Linked DNA regions of Arabidopsis thaliana. The protein of the gene in region 3 interacts with the protein of the main gene of each other region in a biochemical or structural test. Each region holds a gene or a part of one and is shown on either strand. Other genes may lie near its edges.

What was found.
Region 1: of the proteins of RPN10 (region 3) and PI4K GAMMA 4, one has a biochemical effect on the other in vitro, tested with the Arabidopsis thaliana proteins (one study listed by BioGRID).
Region 2: the proteins of RPN10 (region 3) and APG8A form a complex in vitro, tested with the Arabidopsis thaliana proteins (one study listed by BioGRID).
Region 4: the proteins of RPN10 (region 3) and DSK2 form a complex in vitro, tested with the Arabidopsis thaliana proteins (one study listed by BioGRID).

Annotation. Positions count from the first base shown.
Region 1 is NC_003071.7:19,084,395-19,092,274, forward strand, and holds PI4K GAMMA 4 (phosphoinositide 4-kinase gamma 4), read right to left. Parts: upstream 4,836-7,880; 5' UTR 4,459-4,835; exon of another isoform or gene 4,317-4,458; 5' UTR 4,141-4,316; coding exon 2,821-4,140; intron 2,728-2,820; coding exon 2,347-2,727; 3' UTR 2,098-2,346; downstream 1-2,097. Other genes in the region: AT2G46495 (RING/U-box superfamily protein), read right to left, coding at 1-164, 617-1,310; SDH4 (succinate dehydrogenase subunit 4), read right to left, coding at 5,619-6,074; AIB (ABA-inducible BHLH-type transcription factor), read right to left, coding at 6,793-7,880. UniProt on the Arabidopsis thaliana protein: The phosphorylation of phosphatidylinositol (PI) to PI4P is the first committed step in the generation of phosphatidylinositol 4,5-bisphosphate (PIP2), a precursor of the second messenger inositol 1,4,5-trisphosphate (InsP3).
Region 2 is NC_003075.7:11,653,623-11,660,594, reverse strand, and holds APG8A (Ubiquitin-like superfamily protein), read right to left. Parts: upstream 4,983-6,972; 5' UTR 4,728-4,982; coding exon 4,646-4,727; intron 4,363-4,645; coding exon 4,307-4,362; intron 4,229-4,306; coding exon 4,176-4,228; intron 4,097-4,175; coding exon 3,978-4,096; intron 3,890-3,977; coding exon 3,786-3,889; 3' UTR 3,561-3,785; downstream 1-3,560. Other genes in the region: AT4G22000 (tyrosine sulfotransferase-like protein), read left to right, coding at 393-785; APR3 (APS reductase 3), read left to right, coding at 1,622-1,700, 1,843-1,977, 2,064-2,199, 2,285-3,311; AT4G21970 (senescence regulator (Protein of unknown function, DUF584)), read right to left, coding at 6,489-6,962. UniProt on the Arabidopsis thaliana protein: Ubiquitin-like modifier involved in autophagosomes formation. May mediate the delivery of the autophagosomes to the vacuole via the microtubule cytoskeleton.
Region 3 is NC_003075.7:18,055,428-18,063,380, forward strand, and holds RPN10 (regulatory particle non-ATPase 10), read right to left. Parts: upstream 4,172-7,953; 5' UTR 4,033-4,171; coding exon 4,021-4,032; intron 3,940-4,020; coding exon 3,826-3,939; intron 3,732-3,825; coding exon 3,626-3,731; intron 3,499-3,625; coding exon 3,384-3,498; intron 3,305-3,383; coding exon 3,092-3,304; intron 2,881-3,091; coding exon 2,601-2,880; intron 2,517-2,600; coding exon 2,420-2,516; intron 2,337-2,419; coding exon 2,236-2,336; intron 2,138-2,235; coding exon 2,069-2,137; intron 1,984-2,068; coding exon 1,930-1,983; 3' UTR 1,561-1,929; downstream 1-1,560. Other genes in the region: AT4G38640 (Plasma-membrane choline transporter family protein), read right to left, coding at 4,457-4,717, 4,808-5,153, 5,601-6,664; AT4G38650 (Glycosyl hydrolase family 10 protein), read left to right, coding at 7,950-7,953. UniProt on the Arabidopsis thaliana protein: Plays a role in maintaining the structural integrity of the 19S regulatory particle (RP), subcomplex of the 26S proteasome.
Region 4 is NC_003071.7:7,479,564-7,488,378, forward strand, and holds DSK2 (ubiquitin family protein), read right to left. Parts: upstream 5,678-8,815; 5' UTR 5,528-5,677; coding exon 5,299-5,527; intron 5,187-5,298; coding exon 4,422-5,186; intron 4,128-4,421; coding exon 3,895-4,127; intron 3,819-3,894; coding exon 3,705-3,818; intron 3,525-3,704; coding exon 3,472-3,524; intron 3,080-3,471; coding exon 3,051-3,079; intron 2,879-3,050; coding exon 2,795-2,878; intron 2,719-2,794; coding exon 2,570-2,718; 3' UTR 2,318-2,569; downstream 1-2,317. Other genes in the region: AT2G17190 (ubiquitin family protein), read right to left, coding at 1-150, 446-1,192, 1,570-1,798; AT2G17210 (Tetratricopeptide repeat (TPR)-like superfamily protein), read right to left, coding at 5,835-8,045; Kin3 (Protein kinase superfamily protein), read right to left, coding at 8,303-8,733, 8,810-8,815. UniProt on the Arabidopsis thaliana protein: Binds and presumably selects ubiquitin-conjugates for destruction. Prefers multiubiquitin chains rather than single ubiquitins, with a binding affinity for 'Lys-48'-linked ubiquitin chains.

The DNA.
Region 1 (7,880 bases), on a different chromosome or scaffold from region 3:
AACCTCGTTTGGCTGCAAGGCGGCGATAGCCACGTTGCGTTGTATCAGGGAAGCGAATCTTTCGGAGGTGCAAACTCCGACTGCAATACAAGTAGCAAAGATCGTGAGCGGTCCAATTATGCTCAGGAGTATAATCTTAAGCACTTGTGGTTCCGTGTTGTAGCCTGCCAAAATCATGTTTCGAAAGATCAATTTACTTAAGCCACCATGTACGTATTATTTTTTCTTTGTTGAATCTGATGATAACACAATCACTAAACAACAAGTCATGTTACCACTATTCTTTTAAAATTCGTATTATAAGGGATTATCTACGGAGTACAACAGTCTATGACATATTGAAAAGAGTGGAGATTTGATCTTTTTAAAAAATGTGGTTAAACAATATTTAACTAATCAATATATAGTCAACGGCTCAATGTCAAATGTAATGGCCTACTAGATTTTTTGTCTAGTTGTTTAATCATTGGATAATTATTTGAAAACCCCAAATAATCAAAGATTCCTCCAATTTGAACTTTTTTTATGAAGACTAACTCATTCGTCGTTAATTCATAACTATTAATTAATGTAAGTTATAAGAACTAAGAAGAGAAAGAATTGGAGTAATTTGTACCGGAATTTTCAAAAGGGAAGCATTTGACTTGGAGAGAAGTGTTGCTTCTGAATCCACATCTCAAAAAATCCCTCTCACAATCGCTACAACTTGGAGAATCCCATTTCAGCCAAAGGTCTTTATCGTTGACATCAGTCGAGAATCTTGATTTCTTGGCAATAACTCGCCGAGAAACCGGAACATCTAATGTCTTGACGATCTGACAAGAAGGCAGCATAGATTTCGCGAGATCCAAACTAGTTGTAGCCAAGAACGAGGTCGTTGAATTGCCTAGACATGGGATGGAGTCAAACCTGGACGACTTTGCAACCTCATTAGGACAGCTCAAGAACGTGTAGCTGACAAGGTAGAGAGCAGAGAAAGGAGATCTTGATATGTCGAAGGTCAAAAGCTTTCTTGCCAAGCAATTTTCAGGGTCATAGAGACGAATCTGCTGGCTTAAATAGTCGATCTCTCGGACAAGAAATGTTCCGGAATTAGGAAGCTTGAGAGCTGTCTTGGGACTAGCTGTGCATTGGAGATTAAATCCGGCATGGCCACAGAGCTCAGGCTGTTTTGAGAGTAACCAGAAAGGGAAACGGACATGGACATCATCACGACCGCATGAGGAGGAAGAGCATTGTTGTGGGTGTGAAGCGTGTAGGAGAGGGAAGAGGAAGAAGAGGTAAAGGAAGAGTTGTTTTGAGAAAGTCATTTGGTGGTTTTTTGTACTAAGGGAGGGACAAGAAGACTTGTTATTATTTCACTTAATATATATATAGTTCAAACTTAAGAGATCTCTATCTTTCGTCTTTAAATAAAAATAACAATATTCATTTTGTTGGTTAGATGAGGAATAATAGAATATTGTAGTCTGATGAATCTATGGAAAGGTCGTACTTGTTCTCTTTAGTCAAGATACATTTTTAAGAAATTGAATGGAGACATGTTATAATTCAAATCATGAGAACCCTAAGCACACACTTTCTTTAAGATAACAATATTTATTTTGTTGGTTAGACTAAGAACATTATAGTCGGAGGATCTATAGAAAGATTGTATTTGTTCTCTTTAGATGATGCTCGCTAACAAACAAACCTTGTTAATATTTAAACGAAAACCTTGGCCCCTGCGATGGTCTTGCGTTTTGAACGTGGTAAGCACAACTGAAAGGCTTGGTGAAGCTTTGGATTCTGTCATGGAAGCTGTACCGGGTCTTTGGAATCGCCTGCGATGCAAAGCATGGCTTATGTGTATCTTTTCGAATAGGAAGAGGATGATCGGACCTTGGTACCTTAAGGAATTCAAAGCGAAGCTCAATGACATGAAAGACTTGAGAAAACAGAGACATCAAAAAGAGCTACAGGAAGAGCAGATTCAATACGAAAGTAACGATTGTGAATTGCTTCTGCTCATCTTTGAGTTTCGTTCTCATCGATTTGCCTTTTGAAGTTCCTGTAAGATTTTGACAGTTTTGGAGTTTCACAGTAGATTTGACGTCATTCATTGCTTATTAACAGAGAGACATGTATATCGTAGAGAAGAGCTAAATCTTACAAAGAGAGAAAACTATTGTAAACACTTAAATTGTCATTACCATGAAATATGTCTGAGTGAAGTTAACAAAACACCTTGAACATGTCCAAAGAATGACAGAAATGAAAAAGTTTTAAAAATACAAAAGCCAACAGGTTTATAAAAAGCAAACCAAAGAGTATATACCAGAGTTTTGAATTAAACAAGAACCATTTTTAGTGTTCCTGAGAGTGATCGAGATGGTAATCCATCACATCGGATAGGGCTTCGAGGAATGCAGCTTCGCTCGTCCCTGGAAGCACAGCTTCTTGAGCTTCCTCTACCATTTCCTCCACCAGAGACTTCTTGCTAAGTGTTTCTCTGCACATTATGGTTCCAATCTCAAATGCTGTTAGTCCTCTTTCCACTCCTTTCTTCAGTAGCATCGTTGAGATTCTGAGCGTTTGAGCCGTCTCTGCCGGCATTTTCCATCCATGAAACTTTAGTAGATCAATATCTTCCTCTGCGTCCAGTGATCTTATGTACTCTTGGGTCTCTGCAGAGTACGGTTTCCGGGCTTGTGGCCAATATAGCCACTCAAACGTGCAATCTTCAAACTGATGACGAAAACAAAAGTTAGTTTCATGACAATGAACACTATAGGCAAAACTGAATCCAAGAAAGAATAGAAAAAGAGTAAGAGCACTTACGCTTTCAGGCAAGCAGTATCCATGGTCTATAGGAACCAAAACGAGCTTCCCGCTTTCGTCCTTGGTCATCAAAATGTTCCCACCATGTCTGTCTGCGTTGGCCAGTCTAATATCCAACACAGAAATCTTATGAACTTCTTCTACTGGAAATGAAAGTGGACCCATATCTTCACAGCTGCCATCGTTCTCAGTAAACATCTGAAGTGATCCAATCTTGGTTTTGATTCCTTTGGGATGGTTAAACCCTGGATGCAAACATTCAATCATAGCTGTGGGAGGTACACCAGCAAAACCTATCTCTTCACCAAACATAGATTTGTTTCCACTTTTGGGATGATCCAAAATGTATGCAGCGACTTCCCTTAATGCACCTTCTCCAACCTTTGTTCCTTTCTTCAAACCTTCACCGTTTGGCGAAAGTGGTAAACCCTGAGGATTGTTCTCAGCCATTGGTTCCTCATCTATTGGCTTAAACACACCCACAAATTTGTTGCCAGATGGACCCTGCATGAAATAAGCTCCTCCCGTACCTTCGCTTGACCTGACCGGAGAATTCCCACTTTTAAGTCCATCAGAAGCAGACTGAATCATATCTTTAACCACCAGAGGTACTTTAGCCTTGGAGTTAACAACTACCGGCTCCAAAGAAAGCTTTTTTGGTGGCACAATGCTCTTAGCTTCACGACCCTTCTTATCTTTTGCTTGTGGGGCAACAATAGACAACTCAAAGTTCTTCTCCACCGGCTTAACTCGAACTTTAGCAGATCTCCGCACAAGCAGATGCAAAACCGAGTCATCGTTTCTACAAATGTCATTAATAAGACTCTGGTCTTCCAACTTCTCACCTTCGTAAAGAATCTCCTGTTCATCAGGATCAACAAAGTCTCCACGCTTTTTCGAAATCTGCTTCTTCACATACCCAATGTTTCTCCCTCTCTCGACATGAAACCTGCAGTGTTTCCCACAGGTAGTCTTAACATCAAGAACCTGAAGATCAGAGAGCTTAAGAACCAAGTGGAGAATGTTGCCTTCACTAACACCATAATCACGCATATTAGAATTGCTTCTAGCTAGCTCTCGACCACCGAAAACAAGCTTCTGATTCCTCACAACAAAGCCGCGGTAAGACTGAATCCGAAGCTTAACAGACTCAATGGAATCAGACTCAAGCACTCGCATTGGTATCACCGATCCAGGAAGTGTAAGGTAAATCATGATGGTGTCGTCAGGATAAGAATCAAGACAAGAATTGGCACGAACCAGAGGCATAATCAATGGCTCGCTACGAACCGGACTTAACGCAACACCAGCTGATGACATCTTCTTTCACTTGGAGAAATCTAAGAACTTTCTTACGGAAAAAAACAGGATTCGATGTTCTTCACAACACAAAATCCCTCAGCTTCTATATATATATATACAACAAACCGCAATAATCCCTAAAATCCCAATACCATCGCTTCTTCTTCTTTTTCGAGAAACAACAATAACAAGCCCTAGGAAAAAACAGAGGAGATCAAACCTAAACAGATCAGGGATTGATTGATAGCTACAGGTGAATCAAATCGAGCCAATTGATGTCGCCGATGACGTACCATATGAAGAAAAAAGAAAGAGAGAAAGAGAGCGGATTCTTACCAGAAGGAAAGAACCAAAGAGGAAATTGGGACAAGGCGTGGAGCTTTAACGATGATGATCCAATCCAATAATAGAGTTTTTAGGGTTCAATCTAATGGCGTACAAAACAGCTCGCGAAACAAGGGTCAAAAGAGTTTAGAGGAAAGAGAGAGAGGTTTTTCAAAAGGAAAGTGGTAGGAAGGACACGTGTCTCCACCTCGTTCGCGTAGGTGACGCGTACAATGAAGCTTCTTCTTCTTCTTCTTTAATGTACACTTTTCCTTTGTTTATTGTCAACGGTGTACGGCAGTTTCGTTGATTTTGTTTTGTATTTTACCCTTGGAGTGGAAACCAAGCCAGAGACTTTGGGGTTTTAATCGTCATTATTTCACCGTTTTGGATTAGGATGCTTTTAAAACTTCGGATAAGGAGAGAGTTAGTATTTGAATCAATGAACCAGTACAATCGTAATTCGTATGGGCCTACAGATAAAAAGATGGGCCTTTTAATTCGCTTCTTTAACTCGTTTCATATCCCTTTGTTCTATTCAACCTTTCAGGCTTTCTGCTATGGAACATGAATATTGTTGGTCCAGTTGCATCTTAACCAGGTTCATGAACATCTAACTAAGATTCAATTTGATAGCTTTATATCTTCAAAATCTCATGTTTGATCTAAGTAAACATAACATCGACAATTCTCTGTTTGTGACTTCTTGAGAGTCTCCATCACCTTTATAATGATCACACCAAATCCAAAACCAGAAAATCTCTTCAAAAGTTGTATATAATCAAACCATCTACTTGGTAAAAACCACAACTTTTCTACTGCAAAACTCACGTAAGTCTCTCGTGCTTCTGATTACAGTAAAGCTAAATTCGAAATGCAAACGTAGTGATTAAATGATCCTCAAAGCTGAGAAAAGTTGTCATTATTCAATCAAAAGATTAACAGGCTTAGAATTCCATTTTAAGCCTTACAGAATCAAATACACGAAACCAGAAACTGAAACAACACACAACAAAAGCTTGAAGGTAAAAATGCAACATTGCATCAAGTTCTTATTCATAAAACAAAGAAGATAAAAGGAAAGACCTTTTTTTTAGCCCACACTATTCATTCATTAACAGGTGATGATGATCGAGAGTGTTCCTTAGATCCCAAAAGATGTTTACTTGGTTTCAGAGAAGAAACAAGATAATATCTTTAAGAACGATAATCTGGAACAATCCCAAAGACATCACAATCAAATTCCTTGTCATTTCTTGGTGAACATAATCCGCCAAAATCTCTTCCATTCCTTCATGTATGTGAAAGACTACAGGGATTTTGCGTAAGAAAGAGCCATTAGTGTAACCTCGAGAAGACGATTGACGCGAGAATTTGGCTGCCTTGTTGAGTTCAGATTGCCCAATTGAAGACGAAATCGAGCGATCGGTGACGAGATTGGTTGAATCTGGTTTCAGTTTCTGGGCTTGTGCGAAGGGGATTGAAGAGAGGTCTCTTCCCAGTGGGTTTCTCACGGCGGCGGTGGCGGATGCGGAGGAGATGTGACTCATCGAGAAAGGTAGAGACTTTGAGAGAGTGGCTCTCTGGGTTTGACGGTGGAGATCGAGGATAGTGCGGCGGAGAGACATCGTGGCCGAGGAGATAATCTGACGGAGAAGGATTGAAATTGGATCTGATCGGAGAAACAAACCCTATGTGAAATGAATCGGAAGCACAATTCTCGTCGTAGAGGTGAAGATGCATTAATGGAGTTGGGCTTTATACTGGGCTTTTCAGAACTACCAGAAGCCCAAACCAAAACCAAAATAGATTATTATGTGCTGCATTGCATAAAATAATGGACCAATGGAAAAAAAATAATTGATTCTCATTTTTAAGTAATTTTTAGCTCAGTCTCTTGAAATGTCAATATATCATATTCATGACCAATATATAAGATTTGGTCACTTCAAAATTCAAATGTACATGAACATTCTACAAGATAATTAATCAAATATTTACCTGAATAACATTGATTGGATAATATTAACTTGTTATAACTATTGCTTTATTTGAAAAAAAAAAAGAATGGATCCCAAATTGTAACTGAATAAAGCATCCATAACAAAGAAAGAGAAGTCAAATATCTTTCATACTTTATTTGATTTTCTAAAGTATAGGAAATATTTTCCCAAGATACAAATATGTGAATCAATGGTCTAAATAAAGTTAATGAATATACTTAAACCGGATTCCTTTCACTATAAGAAAGAGAAAAGAAAAAAGGATTTTATCTATTTCTAGTTGAACCTGAAAGTTATCTATACTGAAACAAGAATAGACAAAAGCTTCACCATCATGTGAAACTTATATATCACCAGAGACCTGTGAACTAGAAGAAGGCAATGGCGGTTGCGTCGAGCTGGTCTCGGGGTAAAACGCTGCTATAAGCTTCTCTTTCGTCAATGGATCCGACCCGTTGTTAGACTTTATCACAAAAGTGTGAAACATTGTGTCTTCAGCTAATGATAACTTAGCCTCCATTAGACTAACATTTGAGTTTCTCATTGCTTGTATGATTCTTGAAGCTGGATGTGAATCCAAAGGCGAGATTACTCTTACAACAACCTCTTCATTCATAGCTTGAATGTCAACTTCTGGACTTTCTTCTACTGTTATTGTGTTTGATTCTGATAAGCTCTTATCTGTTCCTACTCTTTCATCTTCCATTATCTTGACTTTCTCTTGAAGCTCTTTGATGTAAGAAATTGCGTCTCCAAGTAGAGAAGCCTTGTCCATTTTAGAAATGTTTGGAACAACTGATCGTAAAGCGTAGAATCTTTGGTTAAGCTTCTCGCGTCTCTGCCTCTCAGCTTCCACATGGTTCAATGGCTCTTCTCTTCCGTTTGCAGGCTTTCTCCCTCTCTTTCTCGGTCTCTTCTCATCAACAACAGAAACTATTCCTGCTCCTGCTAACAAGCTCACTGGTCTTTTCTCTGTACAAGATTCTGATTTTTCTTGCTGAGTGTTTGTAGATGGATTCGAAGAAGCAGCAACTGATGATCCCGCAAACTCAATCTGCGTCTTGTAATTGTTATTATCTACAACCATATTCACATTCTCTAGCACTTTCACATCATCCCTCTGAGGTGTGTAACCAAATGTTGGACCTTTATTGTTATTATAGCCTTCCCAACTTTGAGGAGTGAATCTCTCATCCAAGTTTCTTCTCACTTCGAGCTTCTTAGGATACGCGTGAGCTCCACTCAAATCCTGCCCGAAAAGCTTGTGAATCCCTCCAGTCATGTTAGTGTTTGAAGTCACCATTACTGGTTGCGTAACTCTCCTCATGAACAAAGCTTGAACAGACTTAACCAAGCCAATGTTTTCAGGCAAAGACCAAACAGAACCAAGCTCAAGAACACCAGCATCAGTAGGAACCATAACGATCGTTC
Region 2 (6,972 bases), 6.4 Mb from region 3:
CCCTAATTTTAGAGGATTTAGATCCATTTGCATCACATTTCTGCGTAGTAAATCAAGAATTAGTCTCCAAAGACTCTTCTTTTAACAACATTTCAACCAATCTGCGTTTGATTTGTAAGAAATGTTGTGTCAAGTTCACTCTCACTATGATCTCTCTTTGGATTCAAAGTTTGTATCTTTTTGCTTCTATGCATCACCAAATCTCTCTTTGGATTCAAAGTTTGTATCTTTTTGCTTCTATGCATCACTATCATATAATACCTTCCTTCAATTGATCTCCTCTGCTTTTAGCTAGCAAGTTTATAGGTTTCTTAACTTATTGTGAGCTAATTGGATTACAATGAGATATTATCATCTTTAAAGAATTGTGGTTTTGGGCATATGCAGAAGTTATGGCTGGAAAAGCTGCAGAAGCTGTGGCAAAGACAGTGACAGGGTTTCAACATCCATGGAGGGCGAAACTCGATAAGTACAGAACCGAGTTGACGAAAGGTGTGTGGGGTTATTGGGAGATGGGAGCATGGAAACCGTTAGGGATAAGTGCACGAAGGAGGGCTATGCTGAGGAAAGAAGTGTTGACTAATGGAGAAGATTGGCCTTATGATCCAGAGAGGAAAGCTATGAGGACAAAGAGGAAAGGGCATAAATGTGATAGAATTTCAGCTGAGAAAAGAGAGAACACTGCGAAGCTTATGTTGAAGATGCCTCAGATGTTGCTTGATTATAAGAAGAGAAGGTGGGAAAAGAAGATGAAGGAAGAAGAGAAAGCTAAAGAAGACAAGTAATTGATTTGTTGAGATCATGATTACTATAGACTTGGTTGATGAATAAGAATAATTTAGTTTGTTGATCTTATGAAATCTTGGAAGGTTTAAGATCACAAGTTTGCTTCTGATATACTTTTGTATGATGTTTTTTTATGTTTGTTTTTAACAGAACCCAAAAGTGTTTGTGGTTAGGATCGGAATTTGTTTTTCAACCAAGACTAATTTTGACTGTAAAATATGGTTTATGAAATATCGGTTCGTGCAATTTCTAGAAGAAATGAAGAGATCGATAGGTTTTGTAGATAAATTGATAAGTTAAACTAAATGATAGAATCGTAACAAACGAAAAATAATCTCAGTGAAAGAAAATCTCAACTGTTTTTATTTAGTTAATTCTATAAATATGATCGTTTTTTCGGATTTTTAAGGAAAGAATACACGAGAAAGTATTTATCTAAAATTAATAATCAAACATATCACCATGTTTATATTTTACAAATTAGATTAATTTATTATTAGATTATTTTTGTTAGCTCTAAAATAAAATTAAGCGTGTAAAATGTTTTTGAGATAAGTGTATGTTACATTAATAGAAAAAAAAAGAATTCTTGGACCAAAGTTGACTAGTTTTCTCTGCCACACGACCAAAGTGACGCAAGCAATGATATATAGAAAAGCAAATGCCGCCACCTAAAAAAAGACGTCTAGGTTCAATGAACCTAAATTTCAGCTGCTTCTTTTATAATCCCATTTCTCTCAACAAATCTTAAGAGAACACAAAATTAGAAAAAACACAACACAAAAATAAAAAAAACTTAAGAACATTGTTTCGAGAGATTTGGTTTGGAGTGAAAATGGCACTAGCAATCAACGTTTCTTCATCTTCTTCTTCTGCGATCTCAAGCTCTAGCTTCCCTTCTTCAGATCTCAAAGGTAATTTATTTCATTTTCAATACCAAATTCGTGGAGAATCTTAGAAATGCCTTGATTGGTCATTGTGTTTTGGTTTTAAATTCGTTCAAATTCGATCAATGTCGAATCTTATTCAATTTGTTTGTTTGATTCTTCAATACAGTAACAAAAATCGGATCATTGAGGTTATTGAATCGTACCAATGTCTCTGCGGCTTCTCTGAGTTTGTCCGGGAAGAGATCCTCCGTGAAAGCTCTTAATGTGCAATCAATTACAAAGGAATCCATTGTTGCTTCTGGTAAGTTCTGGTTTGATTTTTCAATTGATCATTGGTTAATTTGATTAAGGTTTATGCTAATGATCTTGTGCTTCATTACAAAACAGAGGTTACAGAGAAGCTAGATGTGGTGGAAGTTGAAGACTTTGAGGAACTAGCAAAGAGATTAGAGAATGCTTCTCCTCTTGAGATCATGGATAAAGCTCTTGAGAAGTTTGGGAATGACATTGCTATTGCCTTTAGGTAATGAATTGAATCATGAGAATACAATAAAGGAATGTTTTTGTTTTCCTTTAGTTTGCTGATTTGTTGTTTTGTTTGGTTTCAGTGGAGCTGAAGATGTTGCTCTGATTGAGTATGCTCATTTAACTGGAAGACCTTATAGGGTATTCAGTTTGGATACAGGGAGATTGAATCCAGAAACATATAGACTCTTCGATACCGTGGAGAAACATTACGGTATTCGGATTGAGTATATGTTTCCTGATGCTGTTGAGGTTCAAGCTTTAGTTAGGAACAAGGGTTTGTTCTCTTTCTATGAAGATGGTCACCAGGAGTGTTGCCGTATTAGAAAGGTGAGACCTTTGAGGCGTGCGTTGAAGGGTTTACGTGCTTGGATCACTGGTCAGAGGAAAGATCAATCACCCGGGACAAGATCGGAGATTCCTGTTGTTCAGGTTGATCCAGTGTTTGAAGGATTAGATGGTGGAGTTGGTAGTTTGGTGAAGTGGAATCCGGTTGCTAATGTTGAAGGGAATGATGTTTGGAATTTCTTGAGGACGATGGATGTTCCTGTCAACACGCTTCACGCTGCGGGTTATGTTTCAATCGGATGTGAGCCATGCACGAGAGCGGTTTTGCCGGGTCAGCATGAGAGAGAAGGGAGATGGTGGTGGGAAGATGCTAAGGCTAAAGAGTGTGGCCTTCACAAAGGGAATATCAAGGAGAATACCAATGGAAACGCAACCGCTAATGTCAACGGGACAGCCTCAGTCGCGGATATCTTCAATAGCGAGAATGTTGTGAACTTGAGCAGGCAAGGGATTGAGAATTTGATGAAGTTAGAGAACCGGAAAGAGGCTTGGATCGTTGTGCTTTATGCACCGTGGTGCCCGTTTTGTCAGGCAATGGAAGCTTCATTCGATGAATTGGCGGATAAGCTGGGAGGAAGTGGTGTGAAGGTTGCTAAGTTTAGAGCTGATGGTGACCAGAAGGACTTTGCCAAAAAGGAGTTGCAGCTTGGAAGCTTTCCAACAATACTTGTGTTCCCAAAGAACTCTTCAAGACCAATCAAGTATCCATCAGAGAAGAGAGATGTTGATTCTTTGACATCTTTCTTGAATCTTGTTCGGTAAATCCGCAATAAAATCCGCCGACTCTACGATGACGAAGAGATCAATAATAGACCATCCAGTCTCGTTCCAGATTGCTAGAACAGATGAAGAAGGTGAAGATGAGAATCTCTATTTGGAGCTTTAGCCTTTTGTATAGCTGTGGTTAAAAATAATTACGCCAAGGTTTTGCCTTTTGTGAGTTTATTTTTACCAATTTTCAGTGTATTACTCCTTTTTTGCCTTTGTGATGGATATGAACAAGTTTGATATGAAAGTGACTCATTACTCATTAGCCCCAAAATCAATGTTATTTAAGTAAAAGCAAAAGAGGAAAGTAAGAAAAGGAGAAGTTTCTGACGATTAATAAACCCAAAGGGAAAGATATCCAAACATCCAAAGCAAAGTTAAAAGCCAGAGAAAAGAAGGAAGCAATGTACATCTTTATCTTCCTGATTTATGTATGTACATCAAAGTCATCCAAAGATCGATTTTTATTCAAGCAACGGTAAGAGATCCAAAAGTGTTCTCTCCACTGTAAGTCATGTAGAGGAACCCATCCTCATCTTTGTGTTCTTCATAGATCGCAGACATCAATGCAGCTGTTAAGAAACAAAAGTGAAACCAAAGTTAGTGGTAAAGAAAGAAACTTTGATCCTGAATGGTGTTAAAGAGTTTAAGAACTCTTACCAGTTGGAGGCAATGTGTTCTTAACAAAGACAAAAATAGCTTTCTCAGCTCCAAGCTTGATTCTTTTACGAACCACGTATACAAATTGTCCCACTGTTAGATCAGCTGGTACAAGATACCTAAAAGAAAGTGGAAGAAACATAAGTTATCAAGATTATGATATAGAAAAAGAGTAAATAAAGCAAACCCATTACTCACTTCTTCTTGTCAATGTCAGGAACATCACTTTGTCCAGCCTTCTCCACAATCACCTACATACAATCCAAGATTCTAAATTAGACTAAATTTAGTGAAAAGAAGTTAATCAACTCATGAATTTGTAAGCTTACGGGAATTCTGTCAGGGTACTTCTCTCTGATTCGAGAAGATTCACTCATCCTTGCCTCTGATTAACAAAACATAACCACAAGATTAATGACAAGTACATCATTAAACAGAGATATCTATAAAATCTCACAGCTTGGCTTAGAAACAAAAACAGAGAAACGAACAACAAAGGAAGAATCAAAAGCGTATGCAGAGATTAAATCTGATCCCAAAACCAATCAAAATTGAGTTCCAAAATCAAAACCATACACGATCTAAAGCAAGTTTTAACAGAATTCAGAAACTCAACAAAAAATCAAGTAATTGAAAATTCGATGAGAAAGGGATTTGAAGAAACAAACCGAGAGGGTTAGAGATCTTGAAGGAACTCTTAGCCATTGCGATTCGATTAGTCTCTGCGAATTTCAAGCAAGCAAAGATCATAATTAATAAACTCGATCGTCTGCTAGATCGGGGGAGAAACAAACCCAGAAAACCCTAAAAGATCTCGAATTTATTGGTGAGAAGAAACATACCCGAAGAAGAAACTGAATCCGATTTGTTGGAAATTAGGGTTCGTTGAGAAGAAATTGAGTTTGATTGAAACTGGAGAAGAAGAATCGAGAGAGAGAAGTCAATGTCAAGAGAAAGGGATTATAAAAGAAATTAATAATGGAATTTAGTTAGGGTTTTCCTAATGGTTGCCTACACGGAACTGTTTCTGGAATAAGTAAACCACTTGGAATTCGTTTATTATTATTTGTTGATTGGATTACAAGAAATCTCTTACACTTGTCTTACGTCACCACCATCTGTTTATTTCTTCACACATTTTTGTGTCGTTTTGGGCTAATTGGGCCTTTATATAGGCTTTGGTTAGCAAAAGTTTACAAAGTAACAAAAAAATTTTTTTTTTTTTTTTGTCATCAGGTGTTATTTATGACTCAAACGAGCCAATTTTGAAGAAAATTATTTACAAAAATGATATGTAGCGGTTCCGCACGAATTTTTCGTGCCAAATAATCCGCTTTGACAAAGTAACAAATTTGTTGTCGTTGTATTTTTATATAAAATTGAATTGCATTTTTGTGGCACCTCTGTACAAGATTTTTTTTTAGTTGAAACTGTAATTTTACTACAATTTTTTATTTCGAAAAAGTAAATTGTAAAAAGAAAGAATGATTATCATGAACCGTTGCTAGGGCCAAGGAAAGATGAGTAAATTTCGTTTATAGTGTGATTGGTACTATTTATATATTGAGTAGATCCAAACAAAATAAAAAATCCAACCGAACTTGACATTTTTTTTGTTTGTCGGCAATTCAAATTTAGTACGGGTGAGATAGTACCGACGTGAATAAAACTGAAAATTATCGAAACAAGTATTTTTATTTATACAACTTCATTCTTGAAAATATATCTTACCATAGTAAATTAACTAATATATTTATTATGTATATCTTGAAATGGATATTTAGCAACGAAACGAATTAATCCAAATTCAAATACAACTTTTTCAGTTGCAGATTGGTTCAAGAATACACGAAGTAAAAAATTAAATCAACACACCGAAATAGATAACAGATACATATACCCCATTCCCCTAGTAACACCATGTCTAGTTGCTATATAACATTGAAAAGTGAAAGGTAGTGAGCAATATGGAACGAGCCCCTTAACCTTGTGTCGGACCAAAAATGTTAACATTATTCGCTACATTTTTCTCTCTTGGTCGAGGCCAAAATGGTGAAGAGATCGAGAGTGCTTTCAAATTTCTCACATTCAAAGGTTCCAAAGTATATGCCATTTTGTTTTGCTAAACTATAATTTAAGCTCACTAAGCACTGCTAAAGAGTTAAAAGACCATTGAGAACTACAAACATAACATGAGAAAAATGGTATGGGCCCATGCATGGGATTGACAAGTCATCCTCATCGTCATCATACTTATCTAAAAAAATCCAAAAACCTAACAACAACAACAACAACAACAACAAAAAAAAAAAAAGAGAACTCAACCATATTGGTAGTGTCATGATTCCCTACATGGTGATAACGACAATAACATTGATATTTAATAAAAATCATGTGGATACCATAAGGTTTTAGGTTTTTTTTTCATGATAATGATATGGTATGGTGCTAAAAAGGGTTTTGTGTGAATGTGATATTGATCATCCAGCCATGCTCCATGCCATGCCAAAACTATGGTGGTGATGTTGTTGATGAAGATGTGATATTCGATTCCAAGAAACCAGTTCTTGTTAAGACAGCGTTTCTTGTTTTGCTGAGATCTCTTCCTTTGAGCGTTCTTCCGATTCCTTCGCACATAGAGAATGATGAGATCTGCGTTCTTGCAAGTCTTTTTGCTACTAACTCATGTGGAGGAACCATTGAGCCTTCATCATCATCGTCAATGGCCCATGAATGCAAGTGGCTGCTTGTGTTCTTCTTTGAATACCCATAAACCTTGGACCAGTCAGGAATATTCATTGGAGCAGATGACTGTTTTGCCCCTCCAGAGACCTCGTTGCCTTTAGGAATGTACCTCGCAGAAGATGAGGAAGAGGCTGAGAAGAGATTGTTACTTTTGGACATTTTCATTTCAGGACCTTGAGTTTCACTTTCTCTCAAAACTGACCACACTTCTTCTTCTTGAAACTCTTCTCCCCCTTCCATTGCCTCTCAA
Region 3 (7,953 bases):
TAAAAAAAGGAAAGAAAGAGATATGTGAAAAAGAAAAAGAAAATAATGAAAACCATAAATGAAGGAAAGGAAGCAACAACCAATGGACCCTTTCTTCTACCAAACTCTATTTATTTCTCACTACCCATCTCCCTACCAACCTATATACCAACCTTTCCTCATCTTTTGTCCACTTGCAAGCGATCTACATCTGCATACATACATACATACATACATACATACATACATATTACACATGAATGCATAACATACATATACTGTATATCCATATACCACATAATATATTTATGCATGCATGCATATAAAAATTATGTATAGGAGTTTCATTGAATGTAGCCACATGGTTGAATTTAGAAAGAGTAGCGACTCGTAAACTTAAACATTGTTCTATCGTAAGATGCTTGGTAAAATCGGTGTTGTACATGTTCCTTCGTTGATATCCTCTCCTCAACACTACAAAAACCCTCTCTAGCTACTACATTAATTATCATCTCAAATCCCAATAGAGCAGTATATTATTTCCTCGTATATATTTAGATTTAGTTTTAAAATTGATCAAATGGTTATATACTCCAGTTGTGTGTTTGTTTTTTTGTTTTGGCCAAAAATTGGTAAGATCTCAAAAACTGGTATAATCACTTGAGAAATTATATGATCACCAAATGACAAGTTGTTGTCACTAGCACTGGGGCTTGATATATATCATATTCTGATGAAGATACAAACTCAACAATAATGGAATCAATAAGAGTTTTCTCAGGTTGCATCAACTAATGAAACAAATTTAAAGTTGGAAAAAAAAACAAAATCAGTTGAAGTCTAAAATAAAGTTGAGAACGTTTGATTAATTTCGAACATCGAGATTTAACAGTGGTTGGGTAAATATTATGAAAGTGAAGGAATAACAAAAAAAAACATGTAGAAGTTGATAGAGGAGGATGATATTTTGGAAATGAAAGAGATGGGAGAGGAGGAGTGGTGAGAACTGAAGATAAGGAAAAAGGGGAAAAGGACAAAAGGATGACCACACACACAGACACAAGTGAACAAAGACAGACGCACCTGCCTCCTCTTCCTTCTTCTTTCTAATATTATTCATTTTCATTTGTAAAGAAACGACTTTTTCAAAAGGTGTTAGGTAGATGCAATAGAAGCTTCTATCAGTTTTTCTTCTTTCTTTTTTTTTATGTTATAGTTTGTGAGTCTTGTGACTCTTTTTGTCTTTCCCTTTCTTGCTCTAAAAGGGAACAAAGAAATTTCGTCACTAATAAGTTTCCCCAATAAAAAGTCTTTAACGATAGTCATATTTAGCAATTCAATTTGTTTGTGTAGCATAGTTTACACGTACGTAGATGATCAAAACTACAGCTCGCATGTGGCAATTAGCAGACAAATACACATATCTTGGGATAAATATAAATTAAATAATGCAAATAGATTGCAATTAGCAGACTAATAAGCGCATATAAAAATTAGATTGCAAAGAACAAAAAAACGAGCCAACAGTAGAACAAAGGAATTAAGTACCTAACTGCCACGTGGGACTTTAATTACTTGGAGAAAAACATAACTTCGCAGAAATGTGAGCAAAATTTAATTACCAATGTAGACTTTTTGCACTGTCGTAAGAATATTTCAGATTTGACACTTGTGCAAGGTTCATTACGAATTTAGGACTCGCTATTCTACTGAATTGATCGAGAGACCTGTAACAAATAGGCTTACTTTCTAAGAGCCCATTGACATAAAGTCCAATAAAAATTAAGAAGGAAGCTAGTCCTTGACTCGTACAATAACAACATTATAAAAAGGCGAGAGAGAGAGAAAAAAACAAATTTCACAAGGCAGAGAGATTAGTTAAATTCAGTTCCAATCTCTATCAAACCAAAGAAACAAGAGGAATTTTTATTGAGACTCTCAGATCCTTCTTCACTTCTTCTCATCCTCGCCTTTTTTGCTACTACTCTCTTCCTCCTCGGTACGCTGTCATTTTAACCATATACATTTATCAGAATCTTCTTTTTCAAATAACAAAAAGATGTAATCATAAACATCAACAAAGACACACCTTTGACTCGTCTGGCAGAGACGCTAGTAGTTCTTTAACTGCCGGATCATTTGGATCCACCCCAGGAAGCTGCGTGTACACAAAGTCTTAGTACCAAAGCTAACCCTACTACTTTTCTCTTTCATTTTGCTTGTGAAAAAAACTGACTAAGGTTTATGTAGGCTTACCGATGAGAGAACAGACGATATGAAGGCTTGATTTCCCAAGAGGTTGTTTCCAGCACCTGTAGCTTCACTTGACTCTTCCCCACTCATTGACATTTGCAGAGCTGCACATGGAGTATAAAAAAATATAAGAAAAATGCCAATTTTGATTGCCATGGATATACTTTTACCACACTGTTCTACTTACCTAAAGCCAGATCCTGGTCCTCATCAGCCGCTTCTGACATATTCACATCACCAACAGACATAGCAATTGCCTGATCTAGCAACGCACTGTCCTCATCCTGCCACAAAAGGTTGTATGATTAACAATCTCTCCGCCTGTGACTATATAAGAATGCTACACTCAATTTTAAGTAACAACTAACCATTGGTTCAGCGTTCTTGTCAGTTGTCCTAGCAACTGTCTCCTGTGAGGCGGAAGCTGTGTCCCCATCTTTGTCTTTCTGACCTGCCTCATCGGCCGCCTTCTTGGCAGCAGCTTCTTGTCTTGCTCTCTCCTCCTCCATGGAGACCCGAAGGGCAAGAGCAAGTTCTGGATCGATATTTGGGTCCACACCAAAGTCGAAGTCCCCACCTGCGGCCGCTGCAGCAGCTGCCGCAGAAACATAGCCACTTGCACCCTCATCACCCGTGAATACAGGTGTGCTGGAAGAAAATTTAAAAGTTAAAACACTATCTATGATTCAAATCACTGTCTAAATGTTTTGTTGCAGCATTGATAAAAAGCAAGACTAGAGAGCTCAAAAGACCTAAACACACAAAACCACATGAAGTGCACCTACCAAGCCGGATATTGTTGAAACTGTTCCTTTTACAATCTACATAACCTAGAAAAAAAGAAGAAAAGGGATGGTACCTGAGAAGCACATCTGAGAGAGCATTGGCTCCAGAAGGAACATGAACAATGTGGCTACCGTCATTGTTATTCACAGCTGTAAGGAGCGCCTCGAGTTTCTGAGGCTTTTCCTCATCATCATCCTCCCCGAAATTGACAATATCAAGAGAGACACTATTCTTCTTCAGCCTTTTTCCAACTATCTCTAGGGCCTTCTTCTCGTACTTGATTGGACTAAAAAGTAGAAGCAGAAGAAAAACATCAGTATAAAACTATACAAAAGTTACTCAGCAAAAACAAAGCAATTCGGTACCTTCCAGCAAAAACAATAATCCTTTGGCGTTGATTCTTGTTTTGGCGATGCTTAAGAGCTAGCTGGGCGATCTGGATAGCTGCGGTTAAGTTGATCTCTCCTCCCACATCAAGGCCTGAAAAGATGACGCAAGTAGCAAATTGATGTCAAACTCAATGATAAAGAGAAAGAACAGATTTTTTCTAATTGCTCTAAGTAGACAGCTAATAATAAATAGAAAGATTGGAGAGAGAGATACATACCGTGCATACAGGCCAGAATTTTGCCAAGATCAGAGGTAGGAGTAGTCAATACTCTAACTCCTTTGCCAGCCATTGTCAAAATCCCCACCGTATTCTCCGGATTCGACTGCAATTGCAAAAAAGAAAGATCCCTAAAAATCACAATCTCACGCAAACCCAAAAACCCTAATCGAATCAAGTGAAAAAACGTAAATTATTACCTGGGTTTTGGCTCCGCAAAGAAGATTAACAGCTTCCGTTTGCGCCTGTAACCTAGACGGAGAGTAATCTCCGTTTCGCATCCACTCGGAGTTGTCGATACATATCATAGTCGCCTACAACAAGAAATCATCGATGAGAAAAAGCATTCAACGTGGATCATCAACGAAGATAAGCACAAGTAATTGGAAAATCACCTCGAGAACCATCGTGTCGATAAGCAGAGAGAAGCTTCAAAAATTCTGTCGTAGAGAGAAAGTCAGGAAGGCAAGATTTAGATTTTAGTTTAGACCGATAATAATAACATTGTTCTTCTTTAAATATCCCCTTTACTTTTTTACTTTCTCCTTTTAGACCCTAATGTTTTACGTTTATTTCAATTTAGCCCCAATGGTTGTTTTTGATAAAAAGCAAAACAAAGTTGATTTATTAATGAATAAAAGAAACACAGACCACATTACAGTAATTCCTATAACTAAAGTCTTTCTTTTATTCAACATTGTTACCCCATAACTCTACAAAACATCAATATAAACCCCAAGAAGACAAACCACAGTTCACCAGAGAGGAATTTACAACGGTGCTAACAAACAAAAAAAGATACAACAAGCAGAGACGTTGGATCATCTTCTGCTATGCATTAAGAGCATTTGGGATGAGAGAAGATCTTGTGCTTCTGCTGATAGGCAAGTGAACATAAACCTCGTGAACTTCCTGCTTACATACATCCCCTTTGTCTCTATCAATCGCGTAACAGACATAGATTGTGTCAATCACATCGTCAAGAACATGTACAAAGAAAGCCAATATCACAATCAGTAACACCCACGCCAGTACAGCCACCACGTACGAATCTATACCCAGGTTGCTCACTCCTCTCAGAACAGCCCATGTCTGCTTTTGCGCATCATCAAACCCCGGAATTAGTCATTATGGCAATTATTAAATGCTTGGTTGGTGAGACAAGCAGAAGATAATACTTACCGCGACTGCATATGCGGCTGACAGGACAAAGACTATTCCGGTTAGGATTCTGGTGGAAACCGTTTCGACAAATACAGCTGACAGTAGGTTGCGTCTTAACAGCTCGTAAGTCATTTTCGCAGAGGTGCAATACGCTTCCCCTGTTATTGCAGCAAAGTTGATGGTGAACTTGTTGAGATAGTCAAGGGCACCAAGTAAGGCGTTTGCACAGCAACGGAGAACCATGTTCACTATTCCTTGTGTGTTCTCTTCTCTTGCATTGTCCACAATTGCCCGGACCACACGAACAATGCATATGAGAAGTCCTGATACACATATCGTACCAAAGGATTGACCAAATGCATTCCTGAAGAGACAGATACAAAAAATAATAAGATTCACACATGCTTTGACATAAACCAACAACAGATTTGAAGACTAATGCAAATTTGGATCCTCAAAGCTATAATCTCCTTTCAAAAATACCACTGTCTGTTGTCTCTTTTCACATTTAAAGTACCAAACAAGTTCAGATGATGGATTCCAATACAATATCCAATCTATAAGGCCAAGACTATGAATACCATGACCTAGAATCACTGAATACTCCAGAACGAAGCCAAGCAAGGGATACTTCGAATGACCATAGATTATATTTTATGAGGAAACAAAACTAAGAGAACTCAAAGCAAAAACTCCCGCGATCACACAAAACATATATTAGAACTAAGAGCACCATTGATTGTAAGAGAAACTGCACAGCAAATTCATTGATAACAAGAATAAAATAGAGAAAGATGTGGCAGCGAGTCACCTCAAAGAACTCCGGATGCATTTTTTAGGGATTGAGTCTTCCTTGGAGAAATACCACTGAGCAATAGCTCCACTTATCACATACACTTGCATTTCCACCATTACAGCAAGAGACCAGATCATCGTTAAAATGGCAAGAGCGTAATACGCAGGAACCCAAGAATCTTCTTTCCACTCACAAAAGTACTGACCATCCAACTCTCGCGGCACAAACTTCCCATTAAACCTTGCAAACACCAAGAACACCACAATCGGCGCATAGTACACCACTAACCCGAGAGTCAGCAGCGGCAGCACAACAAAAAGTTTCAAATTTTTGGACAAGGCATCAGATGCAACACTGATGATTTGGATAGTAAGATCAATTCTGTGCCAATTAGCTACTATGATCCAGACAATGATCCCGATGATCAAGAAAACAAAGACTAGGACAAGTATTCTGTAAGCTAGAGGGAGGGCATCGCTACAAGAAGAGCTAAGAGTACAGGCGACAAACCAATAGACATTGAAAAAGATGGGAAAAAGGACAAAGAGAGGTAAACAAGCATAAACAATCTGCTTAGTGTAGTGTTTGAGCAAAAGCAGGACGCTAAAACAGAAGGGCACGCTTAAAATAAGCGTTACAACAAGTGTCCAGATCAAATCCTTCTCAAAGACTGGATCAGACGAAGAAACCATGCCGTACATGACACTCGAAGAAGCCCAGTAGTACCCATCCGAAATTTTCGTAAAGGTAGAATTTTTGACGCAGGAGCTAGAGGTGAAATCGTAGGTGAAGGAAGAGGAGTTCCCGTAATCGTTATTTCTATGAAAAATGGAGAAGATTCCAAAACCAAAGGTGGAGAGTACGAGAAGATCGAAGAGAAGTAGGAAAGGGATGTCCTTGAAAGTTCTTGGGCCAAAATTGTAGGAGATCTGAAGAAACTGAGTTGGGTCGGATTCGGGATCACTTCGACGCGGAGAATCGAGAGCGGACGTGGAGGGTTTAGAGAGAAGAGGGTGTGACGGAGAGGATGAGTCGTAGATTGCAGCGAATTTAGTGGGGTCGCCGTCGTCCGCCGCCATGGTCGTCCACAGAGAGAGAAGAAAGCTCCGCCTCTGGAGCTAAATGATGAAGAAGCTTAAGCAGAAGCAGAAGACGACGAAACTCAATTTAGCATTTTTTCTTAATCACAATAATTAATTAGTGACGATGCCGACGACCACCGCCCAAGCGGCCAAGCGAAGATGATCCAAGATCTCGCCACCACAATGCTCAAATTTAATTCGTTGATTAGTCACGTATACAGGTATTATACCGTCCAAAGGAGTATTATTATCTTCATGTGCATTAAAATATTAGTATAGTTTCTTTTACCAGTATTAAAAGAAAAATTCACGAAGACATTGAGACGGGCTTCGAAGAAAGTCTGATAAGAGAATTCTCAAAGCCCAACTAGCCGTATTAAAGCCCAAATCATCGCATGCAAGAGTAATAGTCCTAACTCCTAAGGAGCGTGTGACTGCATCACAAGGGCAGATACGTTTGTTAACTTGGGCCCAATTGTCACTTGTAAAGCTAAATCTTTGAAATCTTTTGAGAGTTTAAACTTTAAAGATATGAAATTTAGCTAAATTCGTACAAATTTATATCCAAATGTTGACAACAACGTAATCTAAAAATGCATAGACGACAATATTGGTTTCCCTTTGTATCAACTAACAAAATTAATTTTTAAAATTTTGGTGGTTCTTTAGTTATGGTAATTGGTTCCTTTTGTATTGTTTTCCAAATATTTGAGTTCTATAAAATAAGAAATTAAAAACATTAGTACAAAATCTTGTAAATTTAAATTTCGAATCAAACTAAATATGTTAATTCAAAATCTCTAACTTTTAATTATATATTTTATAATAAAGTAAAAAACTATATTCAATATTTTTATTATCAGATATATCCATCTCCTATAGAAAACAAATCTGGATCGTAGCGTGAGTTTGCATTTTGCAGGCGTGAGAGTTTTTTGCACGCACACACACACAAACACAAAACAAGCAAATGGTAAGATTTAGGTAAGAAACTTGTAACCAAAGCATGCATCAACCCGTGGTACTCTAATAGGCTAGTATCTATATAAAAGCACAACTTCACATGACAAAAAAAACCACTTCGCATATAACAACATCATCACGTGAACTCACTCAATAGGTTCAGTGTTTCTGACATATTGTTCCCTCTCTGAATGAAACTCTCCCAAATAGAGAATGGCCTAACCACCTATCCAACCGCATCAAGGCACTTGGTTTCATCCCCTTGATTTCTCTCTTTTTTTCTTTTCCTATCGCAGGATTTTGTGTTCTTGTTTTGAATATGA
Region 4 (8,815 bases), on a different chromosome or scaffold from region 3:
CGGGGTTTTGCAGTATTTGGCTCAATTGAGAAGCATCTGGAGTCGCACCAAGAGGTGAGTCCGCTCCCAGCATACCGAGTCCACCAAGGCCTCCAAGCCCACCAAGACCACCAAGTCCAGCATTTGTCCTTCCAGGGGCAGTTGTCTGGCCTGTCAAGTAGCCCCACAATATGTTCTAAAATCTTTAGTGCATTACGAGTAACAGTTAAACTAGAAACAAACAGCCAAGAAACTTATTCATAGACAAACTAGTCATAACAACAAACTGTGAGAACATGAACTCACCAATTATTACTATAATCAATACTATTCCTGACCAGTGTGGTAAACATAAACTTTCACTTCTTAAAAACAAGCCACTCTTGCTTTTATATTTAATATTTCAACCTTAAACTACAAGTAAAATCCCATATGAAATTAAGAGGATGAGAATACAGTTTCTTACCAGCCGTGGCACCCCAAGGATTAGGAAGTGGATTTGCATTAGGTGTACCCGTTTCAGCATTCGGTGCCGAAATATTATTAGAAGTATCGCTTCCTTGTGTAGTAACCCCCTGGTTTCCCAGAAGAGCAGCAAATGGATTAGAGCTCGTATTGTTTCCAGCATTCTCGGACATAGTGGTAGCATTCATTAACGGTTCCTGGACATTTTCATACATACGCCTAAGCATGTTAAATCCCTCAGGCATAGACTCAATATTACTCATAGCCCTATCAGTATTTCTCATCATTTCACGCATAAGCTCTGGGTTTCTCGCCGCTTCTAGAGTTTGACGAAGGATGCTTGGGTCATTGAGCACATGACCAAGCTCAGGATTGCGATCTACAAGCTCACGCATTTGAGGGTTATTCATAATCATACTCCTCATAAATTCTGGGTTGTTCATAAGATTCTGGATGGCTGGAGTATTCATCATCTCTCTAATCATGTTAGGGTTCTGAGCTAGTTGTTGCTGTGCCTGCTCAAGATCAGGAAGACCAGATCCAAATAATCCAGCCATAGCATTTCCACCACCCAAAGGATTAAATCCAAGGCCAGGGAACAAAGATTCACCTCCTCCGAGGTTTGAGCTATCATTTGAACCAACCGCTTGAGGAGCAGTGGTTTGGTTTCCAGCATTTGCAGCGGGAGCAGAAGGAGAAGAAGGCACAAAACCTCGAACCATATGAACGGTGTGATCAGCCTGCAAACCTATATATAAAATGGTCCACAGAGAAAGGAAACATTGAGGCTCATGATGCAAAACAATAAAACGTGGAAACTATCCAACACAATCATATCAACAACAGCCATTGATGGAGAAAATATACATCCCAAGAAGATACATGATCATGAGAACATTAGGAACTCTAAGAATGGTATGAATCAATTATCGTATCACTAACTACATCTCCTTATTCTTCCCATAGAAGGATTAAGCATACATCAAAACTCATAAAATCATCCATGCTTCTGTAAAAACCTAACATAAATCCAATGTTCCAACCCCCTAGAAACCCTATGAGATTTTCAGTCAAATTAAAGCAACGGAACAACAGAAATGAAACACGAAATGATCAGAAAATTACCATAGCTGAGGAGAGTCTGATCGTCTTTGAGGATACGTCCCTTGTAAATCAAACGCTGCTGATTTGCCGGCACATCGCTGTTCTGCGCAATTAACTCTTTGAAAGACTCCACCGTGGAATCGAGGCTCGTCGTCACACTAAATTTCGTGCCATTGGAGCATCTGACGTTCACGGCAACAGCTACGCCTTCAGCAGTCAGCGGCTGCCTCGAATCTGCTTCACCACCCATTCTAATTTCAGATCCTAGTTCAACAAATCGCGAAATTGATCGGAGAATCAAAAGCTCTAAACCTAGAAGAAAAAATCGTAGAAGAAGATTTGAGGAGACTCGAAGCTCTAATAAGTCGGTTCTGAAGATTTCTTGAGGAAAGGGATATAAATTATTTTTGGTCGAATAACAAATGAGACTGCAGAAAATTAAAGAGTTATTTGGCCCCGAACGGCCAATTAAATGAGAATCCAGAAATGACTTGCGCTTCAGAGAACGTATCGACGACTCTTACTGGGTAAGATTGGGCCGGGTCGGGTCTAAATTGAGGCATTTGGTATATAGTTCAGGAAGGAATTGGCTGTAACTTGAATCTAATTGAAGATGATGAATCAACTAATTGGATATTCCTTTGCAACATGCCACTTCTCTCTTTGGGCAATTTGGTTTAACCTTTGAACCGGATCAGAAGGAACCAAAAATTTAATGGGTTCAATTTCACTTTGATGTCTATAAACATTTACAGATGTTGTATGTTGTAACAACTTGAAATAAGTTATCAAAGATAAACACCCAAGATATATAGGTTTAAGGGTAGTTAAAGACGAAGAGTGACCACTGATAACAAATACCGTATTGATGCGGCTTTTCTATCAACAAAGTTCACGATCCTATCATATATAAATTTTTATGAATTCGATGAATATATCATTACTGAAAAACACACATTCAAGCTGTTTATTCTATAACTGAGAAGCCAGATGGAGAGACATCAGTTCATGAACCTGTATGCTACTGTCCGATACTCCCCAAGAGTCGTTCTACAGCAGCGTTAACGTTACCATTGGTTGCAAGCAACGCCCTAATGTTCTCTGCTCTGTCATAGAATCCCATTTCCTGCAACTGTTGCAATTGAGTAGCGTACCGCTCTTCAGGAGGAACTGGAATCAAACAGACAAGTTTCAGTGGAACCATCACAACAGATGCGTAAGCTAAAAAAAATTTGTAGTCTCTAACCATTGGATTGGTTCGTGCCACTCAGGCCGCCAGCACCAAGACTGCCAAACATATTCATCAATAAATCCAGCCCCCCGTTATTTCCTGTCCCCATCAGTATTGTCATTCTACTATTAACTTGTATACGATACAATATCTGCTAAAATAAAACATACATGAAAGCAAAGAGAACTAAAGAGTAGCTGCTATACTACGTAACATAACTAAACCCTTTATACTACTGTAGAATAAATACATATAATATCTTTAAGAGTACCTGTGGCAGCACCAGTTTGCCCCGCATCCCTACAGAGAAGATAGATTTGGGAACATGAATGCGGATTGATGAAAATCAAAATATGGAGATTAACACACATAGCTTATGCTAAAAGGCATAATCAAAAACAAACAAAATGTTATGAGCCCTATTCAAGTGTATTCCAACGATTAAAATGCTTTATTTATAGCCTCTTTGATAGATGTTACTAGTGATCAGCCCAGTAAATCATACAAGAGTTGCTGCATTAGTCATGGTTCAATCCTTTTCTTATTATAGAGATCGTTCACAACCAATCTTTTTAGCTAGTTACAACATTGTCTAAACACTAAACAACCCAAAAAACAATATGTAAAGGACATGTAAATGCTCAACTTTGTTTAAGCAAATCCAAACAACGAAGGGTTTTAACAAAACTTACTGGCTGGCTGTATTTCTATTCTGAGATAGTGATTGCTGTAGAGTCATCATTTGCTGAAGACCAAAAAACAATAGAAAACATTAGGTTTAAGAAACTTCTTTACTTTGTCCCAAAAAAAAAAAAGAAAAGAAACTTCTTTACTTGAAAATAGCTTAGATACAAAGAAATGTTTCTTTTGAGAGACTACCATGTTAAAAATTCATATGCATACAGACAATAGGGGACAAACTAACCTGCATCATCTCCGGAGAACTAAACTGACGAAGGAAATCTGGGTTCTGCATCATTTCCCTCAACTGAGGATTCGAATCTAGCATGCTTCGGAGTTGTGGGTTAAGACTCATAAGCTGGAATCAAGGGAAAACAATTAATATATGTTCACAATGGTAAAAGGCTCTTAAGTTCAGATCATTCTAGGCCTACCTGATTCATGTATTGTGGATTGGAAAATACGCTTTGCATCATCTGCGATATGGCTGGGTTTTGCAATAACTGGCTCAATTGAGAAGCATCTGGAGTCGCACCAAGAGGTGAATCCGCTCCAAGCATACCGAGTCCACCAAGGCCTCCAAGGCTTCCAAGACCACCAAGGCCACCAAGTCCAGGGCTCCTCGCATCCCCACCAACATTTGTCCTTCCAGGGGCAGTTGTCTGACCTGTCAAGTAGCCCACAATATGTTCAATTATATTTAGTGTATTATGAGTAAATGTTAAATTAGAAACAATAAGCCAAGAAAATCATATGCAAAAACTACACATAACAACAAATTGTGGTAACTACACTAACTCACCAATTTACTATACACAATATTGTTCCTGAAGCAGAGCAGTGAACAGTAACGTCCATTTCTTATAAACAAGCCACTTTTTCATTTATAAAATATTACTGCATCCTTCAAAAGACAAATAAAATCGACAGGAGATTAGAAGATGAAAATGCAGTTACTTACCACCTGTAGCACCCCAAGGATTAGGAAGTGGATTTGCATTCGGAATAGTCCCCGTTCCAGCATTTGGTGTCGAAGAATTATTAGAAGCATCACTTCCTTGCGTAGTGACCCCCTGGTTTCCCAACAGAGCAGCAAATGGATTGGAGCCTGTATTGTTTCCAGCATTCCCGGACATAGTGGTAGCATTCATTAACGGTTCCTGGACATTTTCATACATACGCCTAAGCATGTTAAATCCCTCAGGCATAGACTCAATATTACTCATAGCCCTATCAGTATTCCGCATCATTTCACGCATAAGCTCTGGGTTTCTTGCCGCTTCTAGAGTTTGACGAAGGATGCTTGGGTCATTGAGCACATGACCAAGCTCAGGATTGCGATCTACAAGCTCACGCATTTGAGGGTTATTCATAATCATACTCCTCATAAACTCTGGGTTGTTCATAAGGTTCTGGATGGCTGGAGTATTCATCATATCTCTAATCATGTTAGGGTTTTGAGCTAGTTGTTGCTGTGTCTGCACAAGATCCGGAAGACCAGCTCCAAATAACCCAGACATAGCATTTCCACCACCCAGAGGATTAAATCCAAGCCCAGGGAACAAAGATTCCCCAGGACTCGCTCCTCCTAGATTCGAGCTATTATCTGAACCAACCCCTCGAGTAACACTAGGTGCAGTGGTTTGGCTTGCGGCCGGAGCAGGAGGTGGTGCTGAAGAAGGTGCAGAGCCTCTAACCATATGAATGGTGTGATCAGCCTGCAAACCTAGGTATAACATGTTCCACAGAGAATAGAATCCACAAGAATTTCAATCAATAAGGATCTACGAGAACAACAAAAGTACCCACACGAATAAATCAGAAACGATGAAGATTACCATAGCTGAGGAGAGTTTGATCGTCCTTGAGGATACGACCCTTGTAAATCAAGCGCTGCTGATTAGCTGGAACATCGCTGCTCTGAGCCACCAACTCTTTGAAAGACTCCACCGTTGAATCGAGACTCGTCTTCACACTAAATTTCGTGCCATTAGAGCACCTGATGTTCACAGCCACAGCTTCTCCTTCACCACTCTGCGGCTGACTTGAATCTCCCTCTCCACCCATTTCTAATTTCGGATCCTAATACTTAAAATAATCGCAGAGCTCGCGAAATCGATCAGGAGCCCTAACCCTAGAAAAATTCGATAGAGATTTAGAAGACTCAAAAGCTCTGAGTCGGTTCGGTAGATTGCTTGACGAAATGGATCGAAGAGAACAAAACAAGAAGACTTCTGCTTCAGAGAACGGATCGAAGGGACCGGGTCGGGTCAAAAACAAAACCCGGTTCGTTCCTTTTCTCACCCGGATCCGAGAATACATACGGCATCGTATAATAATATCATTTATCTGCTTCGTTGAGGCCCAAAGGGCTTTAGTTTATCGGTCCTGCAGTATCGTCTAACTTCATGCATCTATGAAGACTCTGAACGACATCATTTAATTCAGAATCACTCTGGCTTAACTTGTCTCCAGCCAAAAACCTCTTTGCCAAGTTTCCTTCACGAACCATGCTATAACCCGCAACGACCCGAACCTTTCTCTCCTTCACCAACCTCCTCATCATTGCTACATCTTCCCATGATTTTTCTGCAGCAAATGTGCTTGACGCAAGCAAGTAACCTGAAGAACACAAGGGCTCGAGTTCAAGAACCTCAGCTACTACCTCTGAGGTAATGATCAATTTTTTAAAACGGTTTCTGCAACCGCTAAGAATCGCTCCCCAAGCACTAGCCCCTGCTTTAACATCTTCTGGAAGATTCTTGATAAGTTCCACAGCCGTATCAATCTCTCCAGCTCGGCTAAGCATGTCTACAATGCAAGAGTAATGTTGCAATGAAGGTTTGTGATCTTCTTCTACCATTGATTTGAAGATCATGAGACCTTTCTTTACCAATCCTCCATGATTACAAGCTGATAAAGCTGCCAGATATGTCACAGCGTTTGGTGTGTAACCTTTTTGTTTCATTTCATCGAACAATGCTAATGCTTTATCCGGTAGACCATTAATAGCATATGCTGAAATGATCACGGTCCAAGAGATGATGTTTTTCTCAGTGATTTGATCGAAAGTCCTTCTCGCCATTTCTATGGCACCACATTTTGCGTATGCGTCAACAATAGAGGTACCAACTGAGATGTCATTGATGGCTAAGCTTCTCCGGATAGCAATCCCATGTGCCCATTTGGAAGTTCTCAAGTCCGCTGAAACTGAGCATGCGTTAAGAAGACTTATGACGGTGATAGCATTGGGCGTATCCCTCATGTGACAGAAGATTGAGATTGCTTCATCGGATCGGCCAGCATGGGCTAATCCAGAGATCATTGTGCTACATGACACCACATCCTTGTACGTCATCGAATCAAGCACGGTTCCTGCATCATCAACAAGACTGCAGCTTGTATACGCATCAATCAAAGAACTCAAAGCCACTTCGTTTGACTCATATCCACGCCGAATTATTACACCATGTATTGACTTGCAAGGCAATGGCTGCTCAAAAAACTTGCAAACCCGGAGAAGACTCACGACTGTAACTTCATCCACTTCGACCGCCTCTTGCACCATCAAATGAAACATCTCAAGAGCCTCATCGTACCTTTGATTATGTACAAACCCAGCCAAAATCGAATTCCATGAAACAATGTTTCGACAAGTGGTCTCATCAAATACTCTAAATGCTGAATCAACATCAAATCCTTTTGAATACATATCAATAAGTGAATTGCAAACAAACACATCTGCCAAATCAAAACCTCTCCGTATCGAAAACCCATGAACTGATCTTCCAACATCAATGTCCTCCATCACCGTGCAAGCCTTGAGAACACTTGTCACAGTCACACAATCAGGCTCTGTTTTCGCCTCATGAACCATCTCTTTAAACAACTTCAATCCAACAACAGGTTCCTTGCTCTGCACATAACTTCGGATTACAACACTCCAAGAAATAACATCTCTTTCAGACATTTCATCGAACAGTTTACGTGCACTTAAAGAATCACTATCTGCGTACATACACAAGATCGAATTTTGAACAGACGAAATCCCACAAAACCCACTACGGATCACATAGCCATGAATCTTCTCTCCATCGAACCATAAACTACGACACGCATGAATCACAAGAACCAATGTTGAAGTATTAGGCTCAAAACCCCAAACTCTCAACTTCGAAAACCACCATAACCCTTCTTCTTCAAAACCATAATCGAGAAGCCCAAAAACGATAACATTCCAAGACACCGAATCTCTCGAATTCATACAATCAAATTCTCGTAACCCAGAACACAAGTCTCCACATTTCATATAGAAATCAGCAATTGAGTTCCCTACAGAAACAAAAGACTCAAAACCTCTCTTTAACAGACTTGCTTGAATACATCTACCTTGAAACAGCCATGAGAGCTTAGCACAAGCTTTAAAAACAATGGGGAAAACGAAAGGATCGTTAAATTGAACTCCAGCTCTCTGTATCTCTGAATACCCAGAGACCACTTCCCGCCATTTTCCACTAACAGAAGCTTGCTTAATCTTCGAAGACAAAGCTTGTAGCTTTGAACACAAGTGTGATCCCATTACCATACTTCAAACCACAACTAAAGTTTGAAGCTTTAACAACAAAATTGTGTGAACAATGGCTTATATATTGATGACCATTAGTTAAACCTTTTCATAATCTGGTTTAACCGTTTAAGTAGTTATATTACACACACCAAACACTACATACTAATACAGGTACAACATTTGTTTTCTCTTTCATGTAGTATACATACGAATGGGTTTTGATAATCTTAACAAATACAAAACTAAGAAAAGAATCTCAGTGTCTTCAAACAACACTAGTGAGCTCGAGACACGTTTTGTCTAGGACGAAACGAAGAGAGTTGTTGCGGGCGATAATGGCCTTGTTGTTGACGGATGGATGGGGAAGCTCTAGTGGTCCTTCGTTCTAACGGTTTCTCATTGGCAGCTTCGATGAGTTCGAGCGATTCCACCACTTCTTTCATCGATGGACGGTTTTTGGGTTCGGGTCCAAGGCATTTCAGAGCCAGTTGAGCTACTCGGAAAGCAGATTTGAAAGGGTATTTTCCTTCTAGACGAGGGTCCATTATGCTTCTTAGCTTTCTTCTTTCGGATAGATGAGGTTTGATCCATTCGGTTAGATTGTGTTGCCCGGTAGGACGAGTAGGATCAAGCGCATGTAAACCAGTTAAGATCTCAGCCAAAACAACGCCAAACCCGTAAACATCGCTCTTTACATACAAGTGACCTGTTGGAACCAACAAACATGTTCACAGTTTGTTGTTGGAAACCAAAAGAACTAAGAATACAAAACATTGTAGTACCTGTAG